Canis lupus familiaris: one gene and its partners. The protein of the gene in region 1 interacts with the protein of each later gene in a biochemical or structural test. Links are inferred from orthologs where the notes say so. Each region holds a gene or a part of one and is shown in the gene's direction. Other genes may lie near its edges. The genes, in order: EID1, FBXO21 and NR0B2.

Region 1 (3,482 bases):
AGTTTGACAGCATGAATTAAAAACTAAAGTATGCACACCCTACAATTATGCCTTCCCACTTCTAGGTTATTTATTCTAGAGAAACACTGGCGTATATGGATGTCATTTACCCATAGTTTATAATATTGAAAAATCGGAAATTTTGCGCGCAAAGTTAGGTCAACAACAGCATAGCTATACAAATAAAATGCTAAAAAATAAAAAATAAATAAAATGAAATGCTGTACACACACACACACACCACCACCACCACCACTCATCTATGTACCCCAACAAAGCTAAACCTTCAAGACACTGCAGAGGGGCTTTTTGTTTTGTAATCTGAAGACAGTTACGTAAGACATGCAAAAACAAAAAACAACCCACACACAGAACAAGATTTTTGCACGAGGTTGTAAAGGAAAAGGACAAATGCAATGGAAAAGGATTTAAAGAATACACACTGAAACTGACCACAGTTAACCTCCTGTGGAAATAGAGTCAAGTACTTCTTCAGCATGTAGCGAAGATAGATAATATGTTTGTGAATTTATTATTATTTTTTTTTAATGGGGGAAACAGAAGTAGAGCTGAATGGATCAGTTCATAGTATGTTGGTCTGTGGTTGAGAACACTGATTTGGCGGTGTGGATGCGGGAGCCCTGCGCATGGACGACAGGTGCAGATGCGAGGGTCTAGGGGAGGGAAGGGGAGGAGGGATGGGGAGGAGGGAGGGAGGGAGGGAGAGAGGGGGAGAGGGAAAGAGAGAGGGAGGGGGGAGGGAGCGAGGGGAGCGCAAGGGGAAGGGAGAGGGGGAAGGAGGGAGAGAGGGGGAGGAAGAGGGAGCGAGGGGGAGGGATAGAGGGGGAGGAGGAAGAGGGGGAGGAGGGAGGGGGAGATGGGGAGAGGGGGAGGGAGCAGGGGGGAGGCTGAAACGTCGTAACAGAGGCCACGTAAAGTATCTCCAAGTTTACAGCACCGTAAGGAGCGGGACGGTTAAGCAAAGCGGAGATAAGGCGACTCTCTTAAACGCAGGGCCTCGCTAAGCAGCAGGAACGGACGGCGAACGGGAGCCCCTCCCGCCGCAGGAGTCGGCCCCCCCGCCCGACGGGCACCCGGGAGGCGGCGTCCGGGGGTCGCGCAGACGCACGGGGTCACGCAGGCGCGCGGCGTCGGCGCACGCGCAGAACCGCCCGGCCGCGTAGCTCCGTCTGCAGGGACGCCTGGCTAGAGGGTGCGCCGCGAGTACGATGTCGGAGATGAACGAGCTGTCCGAGCTGTATGAAGAGAGCAATGACCTGCAGATGGATGTGATGCCCGGCGAGGGTGACCTTCCGCAGATGGAGGTAGGCGGCGGGAGCCGGGAGCCCTCCCCGAACCCCTCCCGCCACGGGGCCCAGCCGCAGCTGGAGGAGGAAGGCCCGATGGAGGAGGAGGCGGCCCAGCCAATGGCGGAGCCGCAGGGGGAACGAGGCCTTGCTCACCGGCCCAGCCCGGGGGAGCAGCCGGGCCAGCTCGCCGGCCCTGACTTCGAGAGCGAGGACGAGGGTGAGGAGTTTGATGACTGGGAGGACGACTACGATTATCCGGAAGAGGAGCAACTGAGTGGTGCCGGCTACAGGGTATCCGCGGCCCTGGAGGAAGCCAACAAGATGTTCCTGAGAACATCCAGAGCCAGAGAAGCAGCCCTGGATGGCGGGTTTCAAATGCATTACGAGAAGACCCCGTTTGATCAGTTGGCTTTCATCGAAGAGCTTTTTTCACTTATGGTTGTCAATCGCCTGACCGAAGAACTCGGCTGTGATGAGATTATTGACAGAGAGTGATTACACGCTGTTAAAAGAGGAGGAAGCTACTTGAGGAGAGACCCGACATTCCACGGTCTTTTGGGCTCATTCCAGATAGATAGTAACGGTGCCAAGGGAAAAAAGTCGATCTTCAAAGAAAATTTTTGTTGTTGTCGTGCAGAGTAGAATAGGGCAGTGACTGCGCTCTTATGAAAGCATTGTTGGAGAAGAAGAAGAAACGTATCAGGACTGTGGAAATCTGTTTTCAAGAATGTTCCTGAAACACCTGCCGCTTAGACTTTGTTACTGATCCCGGTTATTTTCCTTGCATTTGGGGAAAATACCTCTCCTATATTTCACTATAAGGAATGGTTTTGCAAGAATAAGTTATGACCAAGACAAACCGCCAGTACAAGACCCCCACTGATACCAATTACGTGAGAAAAAGTAGTAACATCCAATTTAGGACACAAGATGTCTGAATCGTTTGGACTGAAAGCCTACTGAGAGAACTCTGGAGGTTCCACTTTGTGGTCTGTCCAAGCCAGTGTTCAAAGGCTAAATTTTTAGTGTAAAAAAAAAAAAAAAAAAAAAAAAATTGGGTATTCTTCACTATCCCAAAAAGATAAACCCAAGAAGAAATATGTATCATGTGTGATCTATCTCAAAATGTGTTTTCAAGAGCATCTGAAATTTTGTTTGTACGTGTATCTTGATCATTTATAAAGCTACTATGATCCATAATTCAAGAAAATTTGTCTTGCCATTTTTAAAACTCAAAAATTAAGACGTCCGTAATTTCAAAGTTAGACATTAAAATGTATGTGAAAGAACAGACTATTTCTGATACTCTTACATACTAGAGAAGTTGTTTTACTTGCTCTCTTTGTTTTTCATTTAACTTACAGGTGAAGGACTTTGGTTGAACTTCATAATATAAGAACTGTTAAAGTGAAAATGTCAAGTAAAAGGAAAGCCCTACATCCAAAAAGAAAGACTGAACAATTATGCCCTCAACCCTTAAAAGGTTTTAAAACCTGCCCAGAAATCCACCTCAGTATCTGAAGTTTCCCTCTGTCTCCTCCTCTAATTACGCTTGTCATTGGTTATGCACCAGCATTCGAGATAATAAAATTTCTTGTTCTGTGTATTTTGTTTGTTTGGCCAAGAATATTGTTCCCATACTTTATCTAAACACTATTATTTTATTGTATTGTGCTATTTTATTTTATCATTGAAACCACTTTATGATTCACATTTAACCACTACATGGGAAAGTGCTCCAGCTTCAAGTAACTGATTTATAAATTAACTTGTGGATATTAAACTTGGCAAATTCCTATGAAAGAATTTGCCAGCCTGAGAAAACCTGTCCTATTAAGGTGAGCATGTTGCTGTGGTTATTAAGGTTCTGAAGTTGTATAAGAATAGTAGTAATTCTGTCAGAAAGCTGTGCCCAGTAAAACAGTATATTAGTAGGTCTGATGATCAATAAAAGTACTGGATGTTCCTGCCCCTTATGGCACTAAAGGACACATCCAGTACAATACCACAGCTCAGCCTCAGTTACAGTCATCTTGCCTCTTATGGGTGGGGGGCGGGGGTCCTTTTACATAAAGTAGAGGACTGGCGAGGGTGACCATAGTTACTGAAACACTAGCTTGGTGAGGAGGAGAATAGATAGATGGGACAATAATAAGCAAGATGTTAGCACTT
Region 2 (3,650 bases), on another chromosome or scaffold:
GGGAGAGATCCTATTCTCACAGGAGAAACATATCATAGACCCTCTGTTAAATGCTGTAGTAGAATGGGCGCTGAATGATTGTGTGTGTATAAAACTTTATTGGAATTTGCATTTTTTCCTTAGAGGCACCATGTACGGGTAGAGAAAACTTACCTTGGAGTCAGACAGTTCTGTTGCTAGCCTCTCAGTCATTTCAATTCCACAGAGAGATGGTTTCTCCTTGCCCACTTGAATACACAGTCCCACTGGGAGTTAACAATCATTGAAACGATCATTGCGCTTCCAGAACCTGAGACACGTCTTCATCAGCATAGCTAATTTGCATCACTCAGGGGGCTTCTCTGTCACCCCTTCTGCCTTGTGCAGCAGAAGCAGCTCTGTCAGATGTCTCCTTGATCGGGACTGAAGCAGCTTAGCAGTTCTTTTACCTTCCAGTTGATGAGTGGCCAATGAAAATCATCTTTCTGGGTACGAAAAATGGATTCCCCACACTGAGCAAGAGTATTGGAACCCTTTAAAGTTCCCTAATCCAGTGGTCGCTTCGGCAGCACACATAATAAGATTGGAACGATACAGAGAAGATTAGCATGGCCCCTGCGCAAGGATGACACGCAAATTCGTGAAGTGTTAAAATAAATGAATGAATGAATGAATGAATGAATGAAAAGTTCCCTAATCCAGATGTACCCATGGAGGGCAGGCCCTGGCCACTTCATCCCATGCTTAGTCCCACACACTGTTTCTAAGTAATTCCTACGCTCCTACCAGTTGACTTTTGGAGGCCTGGGGCCATTGCCCACCATTAGCAGTGAGACCACCAACTCAGTGGATCCCTGGGCCACTAGCATGGCCCCACCTTGCCGTCCTTTGCCAGGTTATGTAGGCCTAAATCTCATGCTGTGAACAAGAAAAGGCCTAAATGAAAATATTATCTCCTAGTCTTTCTGTCTTGTCTTGAAGGTGCTTGACATCCTCCAGCACATTCAAACCCTAGACCCCGGGCAGCATGGGGCGGTGGGCTATCTGGTGCAGCACACCTTAGAGCACATTGAGCGCAAGAAGGAGGAGGTGGGCGTGGAGGTGAAGCTGCGCTCCCATGAGAAGCACAGAGACGTCTGCTACTCCATTGGGCTCATTATGAAGCATAAGAGGTGAGTGCCTGTGGAATCCATCCCCGCACCACTGCAGGGGATGCGTGGTGTGCCCGCAAGCACGCTTCTCAGGAGCCATGGCATCTGAGTGTCTGCCGCAGAAGCGACTGAAGGCTGAACCAGTCTGAACCAATTCTACGCTGTTTCCTAAGAAAGGGACTCACTTTCCTAACTGCGAATCTTCTAATGTAAGATCTGTAAGCAGCAGATTTTATCTCTCATTTTCTTGTTGCCCTGAGGCTTCTTTTCATTTCCATCCCCTTGAATCTGGGTTGTGGATAGGGTTTGCTGGGTTATAGGCACGTGTGTGTGGTCAATTGCTAGGCAAAATTAAACCATAACCACAGTGACCCTGTGATTTCTGTCCCACTCCGCAGGCTAGGAGCCGAGGGTTGCAGGGTTTCTGTTCTCACCCACCTGTGTTCTTGCCACACCTTTGAAAGTGCTCTTAAACAGCAAATGGCAAATAGTATTTCATTGTGATTTTTGTTTGCATTCTCCCAATTAGTCTGCAGATCGACTAGTAAACCTACAAAAAAGAAGTTCATTCAGGTTTTCTCTTCTGAAGTACCTCTTCAAACATTCTTATTTTCTACCCGAACTATTTGTCTGTCTTGTTGGTTTGTGGTCTCCTTGTCCTGCTACTAGTATCTCTATGCATATACGTTGCAAATAATCTTGTCCCAGTTTGGGGTTAGTGTGTTTCATTTTTTTATTGCATTCTTTTTTTTTTTCCTCCAACCTCATTATGGACATTTCAAATACACGTCAGTGGAGATGAGTATAGTGAACCAGGCGATGCTCCCATACCCAGCTCCAGCAGTTGTGAGGGTCAGCCTTCACATTTTCACCCCCTATCCCTACCCAAGCCCCTTGCAGTATGTGTACCTGAAAGGTAAGGGCTTGCTATATTTTTTAAAAGTGTTTACTATCTTCTTGTAGTATCTAAGGAAAAACAATTTCTTCACCTCACCATATCAGTATAGTCAGAATTCCTGTTGCCCTGTTTTTTTTTTTTTTTGTTTTAACAATCTGCTTGAATCTGACTCCTTTGAGTTTACTCTTTGCCTTTATGGACTGTTTTTCGTCCCTGGTTTGAGGAATCTTAAACCTGTCCTATTTCATGAAGTTATCTTAGGAATTCTATGTTTTATATATAGGCCTTTGTCCTACTAAGATACTGTGCATTGCTCTCAGGCCTGGGTCCCAATACCCTTTTCCGTTTGGATAACTACTTGACCCATGATGGTTGGTTGAAGTCTGTTCTTTTCCAACTGAAATGGTATCTTAATAATAAGAGGACCTTATAAAGGGAGCTAAGAGTGTCCTGAAAAATGCTTAATAGGGATAAAAGCAGGTAAATTTGTAAGGACATAACCTTAAGAGAACCAAGCCATTACTTACATATCCCAGAGTCTCTGTGACAGGGTCCCAGGGAACTGATTTGCCACTGCTCTTATATTGATTAGGTATGGCTATAACTGTGTGATCTATGGTTGGGACCCCACCTGCATGATGGGACACGAATGGATCCGAAACATGAACGTCCACAGCCTGCCTCATGGCCATCATCAGCCTTTCTATAATGTTCTGGTGGAGGACGGTTCTTGTAGATATGCAGCCCAAGGTAAGGAGCTAGTTCTGTGTGTATTCATAATGACACGCCGGCACATCTTAGCACACATTTTGAGTGTTCTGATACTGTGGGTACAGTCACTGATTTTATTTAGAGATGGCAGTTGTGTGGCTAACCTTATCAGGGCCGATTCTCAGCTAAATGTGGGTAGGTGTGCCCCTGTGTGGCCATGCAGTGGGTTAAATAGTCCCCGCCTTCAGACTCTTCCCTCCATCACCCCCACACCCAGGACCCTGTTCCAGTGTTGTTGCCAGCCTCTGTTCTGATTGGTCATTGACTTTGCCAGTCAAGTTCCCGAAAGTCATGCTTCCCAAGCCCTACCATTGGCTCCCTCCAGGCAGTGAGGGCCAGCCTGTGCCCTGCCCATATGGCCTGTCTGAACTGGAGGACACTGTTGTGGGGACTACCCTAGCTGCCTCCGGCATCCATAGCCAGCTGTGAGCCCCAGAGATGTCCTAGAGTGGCCACAAGGGGAACCACAATCCACAGCACTGGCTCTGAGAGCCTTGATGGTCAGCAGGTGCATGGTGGTGTTTGGGGCCACTGCCAGCCCTGATAGGCGCTAGTCCAGGGCACTCCTGAAGTAGGACGGTTGGAGCCTGCAGAGGCCGATTAGAGACAGATGCCTCCAGTATGGGTCTCCCTTTTCTTTGTTCCTCCTTTTAATGGGATGAATTTATTGCATGGCTGCCTGTCAAGGCATTCACAGCTTTCATTTTGTTAGTCAAAATGAACATGAGTGAGGGACACCTGGCTGGTTCATTTGGAAGAGCATGTGACTTTTTTTTTTTTTTTTTTTTTTTAAGATTTTGTTTGTTTATTCATGACAGACAAAACACAGAGAGAGAGAGAGGCAGAGACAC
Region 3 (3,750 bases), on another chromosome or scaffold:
CTGTCACCACCTCCACTTGGGACGCCAATGGACCAATGACCTGCTGACAGCTTGAGCAGACCCTTACACCTCTCCTTTGGACTTCCCCAACCGAACCCAATGCCCTTCAAACCCCAGAGGAGGAAGTCACCTTTGACTGGTCGAATTGCAATCCTTCCTTTGCATAGTGAGGGTCACTCTGACTGGTTGGATTGCAATCCTTCCTTTGCATATGAGCCAACCAATAGGAAACCGTTCTGCCTTACAACGTTATGTAAACCCCCTACCACCTTGTCTTGGCGCGACTTCCTCGACTCACTCTCTTTCCCCCGTGAGTCGTGGAACCTCGCCCGAGGGTGCCTGCAATAAAATCTGTTCTTGGACCCTCGCTTGCCTTGGCGGTCTCATTTCCATCTAGTTACTAAAAAACTTAACATGACCTTGGGCAAGTCACTTCACCTCTTTCAGTTTCAAAAAGTAAGAATTTTGCCTCATGGGGAAGCTCTGAGTATTAGAATGGAAAGTGCCTAGCACACAGTAGGTGCTCAATAAATAGCAGCCAAACTTTATTCTCATTCTGTGAGGGCTTCTCAGCAGAGACAGCCTTTTGGGAACTTTAGAAATCCAGGCTAAGGAGAGAGAAGTTCTTAGGTACCTTATTTCTGGAGGGGCCCCAGAACTGAGTCGGGAGAGGGAGGCCTCCTGGCCTGCACAGTGGGCAAAGTCCTTCCAGCCCCCCAGGGTCCTGGCTCCGTTCCCGCAGCCTGTTCCTTACCAACAACAGGAGCAGAGCCCCAAGGTTAGGCAAACAAGTCCCTGATAAGGCACTTCCAGGTTGGGCCTTGCATTCAAGGCTCGTCCAGCTCCGGGGCTGGCCTCCCAGCTTAGCGCCAGTCTTGCAGGCACCAATAGGGACACCTGCAATGGCCACCTGCTGATTGTGCACCTGAGGCCTTGGTGCCTCGGTACAGCCTGGGTTAATGACCCTGTTTATCCACTTGAGTCATCTGATAAGGGGCAGCCGGGCCAGCGGGCAGGCAGCCTTGTGCCCTGCACAGGCTGCTTCATTGACTGAAGTGATATCAGGGCCACGTGGAACTCCCAAAGCCCCCTCCCCCGCCACTTCCCCACCAATCCTGCAGGGTCAGTGCGTGTTTTTTTTTTTCAATGAACATGACTTCTGGAGTCAAGGTTGTCAGGCCGTCCCTCCTGCCCCCACCCACCGTCCCTCCCACTGGGGGAATATAAATAGCACCCAGCACACAGCAGAGGGCAGAAGCGGGAGAGCTGGGAGGAAGAAGGAGCAGATCCCCAACCATGAGCTCCAGCCAGCCAGGGACCTGCCCGTGTCAGGGTGCTGCAGGCCGCCCAGCCATTCTCTATGCACTTCTGAGCCCCAGCCTCACGGCCAGGCCCCCAGTGCCCCCGGTTCAGAGTCGCTGCTTGTGCAGACAGCACCGGCCCGTCCGGCTGTGTGCCCCGCATCGCACCTGCCGGGAGGCCTTGGATGTTCTGGCCAGGACAGTAGTCTTCCTCAAGAACCTGCCGTCCTTCTGCCAGCTGCCCCCTCAAGATCAGCAGCTGCTGCTGCGGGTCTGCTGGGGCCCCCTCTTCCTGCTGGGGTTGGCCCAAGACACTGTGACTTTCGAGGTGGCTGAGGCGCCGGTTCCCAGCATACTCAAGAAGATCTTGCTGGAGGAGCCCAGTAGTGGTGCACACAGCGGCCAGCTGCCCGATCGGCCCCAGCCCTCACTGGCTGCCGTACAGTGGCTTCAGTGCTGCCTGGAGTCCTTCTGGAGCCTGGAGCTGGGCCCCAAGGAATACGCCTACCTGAAAGAGACCATCCTCTTCAATCCTGGTGAGCTTCCAGACATTCCTGGATGGGGACCCAGGCAGGGAAGGCATCTTCTAAGGGCTTGACACCCGTTTTCTCTTTGGGTCCTCATTATCCCCAAAAGTCACCTCCCAGAGAGGTTAAGTGTTTTGCTGAAGGTCACACAGCCTCGGTAGGGGCAAAGCAGGGATGGGAACTCAGGTTTATTCCCTCCAGAGACTGGTCCATGCCACTCTGCCTAAGAAACTTGCCCTGACTGTCAGGGAAGGTGAGCAGACACAACTCTGCCTCTGTCACAGGTAAAACCCTGTGGGTTCAGAAAGACCCCATGGAGAAGAATGAAAATGTGAGATGAGAATTCCTCATCAAAAAGCCCTCGTAGAATGCATAAATGATGGTAATTAATTATAGTGATAGTAATGAATATTCATATTACATTTACCATATATTAGGCCCAATTATAAGGGTTTTGAATATACTAGCTGACTTAAACTTCATAACATGCCTAGGAGATAGGTATTATTATCCCCATTTTACAGATGAGAAAACTGAGGCACAGATATTAACATATCTGAGGTCATACAGCCAGTGAGTGACAGCATGGGATTCAAACCCGGGCTGCCTGGCTCTTAACCATTACTCTGGGCTGCCCCATAAATGGATGGATAAATAAAGTGATAAACACATAAATGGAGGAGGTAGTAATGGGGCCTCAAAGGCCAAGCCAGTGACCTCCGGTCTTGGGCCAATATTGCTGCCTGGGAGTGGGGTACTCACCCGCCCTCTTCACCCTCTCTGCCCACAGGCTTGCCAGGCCTCCACGCCTCCTCCCACATCGGACACCTGCAGGAAGAGGCTCATCATGCGCTATGTGAGGCCCTGGAGCCCTGGTGCCCAGCAGGCCAAGGCCGCTTGGCCCGTGTCCTCCTCACAGCCTCCACCCTCAAGTCCATCCCGCCCAGCCTCCTTGGGGACCTCTTCTTCCGCCCTATTGTTGGAGACATTGACATCGCTGGCCTCCTTGAGGACATGCTTTTGTTGAGCCAACCTGTTCCAGCCCAGGCAGAGATCAAGTGGAGGTTGGGCAAAGGCTGGCAGCACTGATTTGGCCCAGCTGTCCCCAGGGCTACCTGTTGCCCCCAGAGGGAGCAAGTTTGTACAGGCAGCACTCAGCCTCCCTGGAACAAGCCTGTCCTGCCCCAGAGAGATGGGCTAGGGGCACCCCCCACCTCACTCACCACACGGCCCCCACTGGCCTTTCTTGGTTTGACATGGCGCTCCAGCTGTCTGGAACTGGAGTGGTCCTCTGGCTTCTGGGCTAAGACTCCTGACCCCTTCTGAGATGGGGATGGCAGTTAGGTTGCTCAATGGGACAAGTCCTACTGACTTTGTACAGAAATGATTTAAGTTATTGGTTTTTGTAATAAAAGGCATGATACCCTTGGAGCCTGACACTGTAATTTGTACATGGAAGGGACTGTCCCACCTCCAGGGCCCACTCTGCCACTATCAGGAGTTCAGGAGGAAGGAATCATAAGGAGTGCTGGAGCCAGCCCTCAGGGAACTGGGATATTAATTTTTCAGGGCAGGATGATTATTTCATCTTGAGGGATGAGATTTATTTTGCACAGGGACTAGGATCAGTTCAGGCCCCCTTACTTCCTTGCCTTTATCTTTAGGGCTGAGAGTGTCTCTTCTTGATCCCCTTGTGGGGATCGCTAACCCCTCTCTTGGCTTCTGAGCCATACAGGCTCCCTCTCACCTCAACAAAAGTCAGATCACAGCCAGTAAGGAATATGAAGCAGCCCATTCTCAAATTTAAACAGGCAAGGTCAAGGTCACGGGAATTTCTGCAGTTTGGGATCATTCACTTGCCCATTCCTGCAGATGACAGTAGAAGACAGTCCACTGCTGTCCCAATGGGAGGGGCAAGGGAA

The links.
Region 2: of the proteins of EID1 (region 1) and FBXO21, one has a biochemical effect on the other in vitro, tested with the Homo sapiens proteins (2 studies listed by BioGRID, with this or other methods). The link is inferred for Canis lupus familiaris from reciprocal best matches to the Homo sapiens genes EID1 and FBXO21.
Region 3: the proteins of EID1 (region 1) and NR0B2 form a complex in vitro, tested with the Homo sapiens proteins (3 studies listed by BioGRID). The link is inferred for Canis lupus familiaris from reciprocal best matches to the Homo sapiens genes EID1 and NR0B2.

Annotation. Positions count from the first base shown.
Region 1 is NC_049251.1:15,392,570-15,396,051, forward strand, and holds EID1 (EP300-interacting inhibitor of differentiation 1), read left to right. Parts: upstream 1-1,022; 5' UTR 1,023-1,229; coding exon 1,230-1,805; 3' UTR 1,806-2,916; downstream 2,917-3,482. UniProt on the Homo sapiens protein: Interacts with RB1 and EP300 and acts as a repressor of MYOD1 transactivation. Inhibits EP300 and CBP histone acetyltransferase activity.
Region 2 is NC_049247.1:14,069,795-14,073,444, reverse strand, and holds part of FBXO21 (F-box only protein 21), read left to right. Parts: intron 1-532; exon of another isoform or gene 533-639; intron 640-939; coding exon 940-1,151; intron 1,152-2,620; coding exon 2,621-2,778; intron 2,779-3,650. UniProt on the Homo sapiens protein: Substrate-recognition component of the SCF (SKP1-CUL1-F-box protein)-type E3 ubiquitin ligase complex.
Region 3 is NC_049223.1:72,630,667-72,634,416, forward strand, and holds NR0B2 (nuclear receptor subfamily 0 group B member 2), read left to right. Parts: upstream 1-1,234; 5' UTR 1,235-1,296; coding exon 1,297-1,837; intron 1,838-2,618; coding exon 2,619-2,917; 3' UTR 2,918-3,259; downstream 3,260-3,750. UniProt on the Homo sapiens protein: Transcriptional regulator that acts as a negative regulator of receptor-dependent signaling pathways. Specifically inhibits transactivation of the nuclear receptor with which it interacts.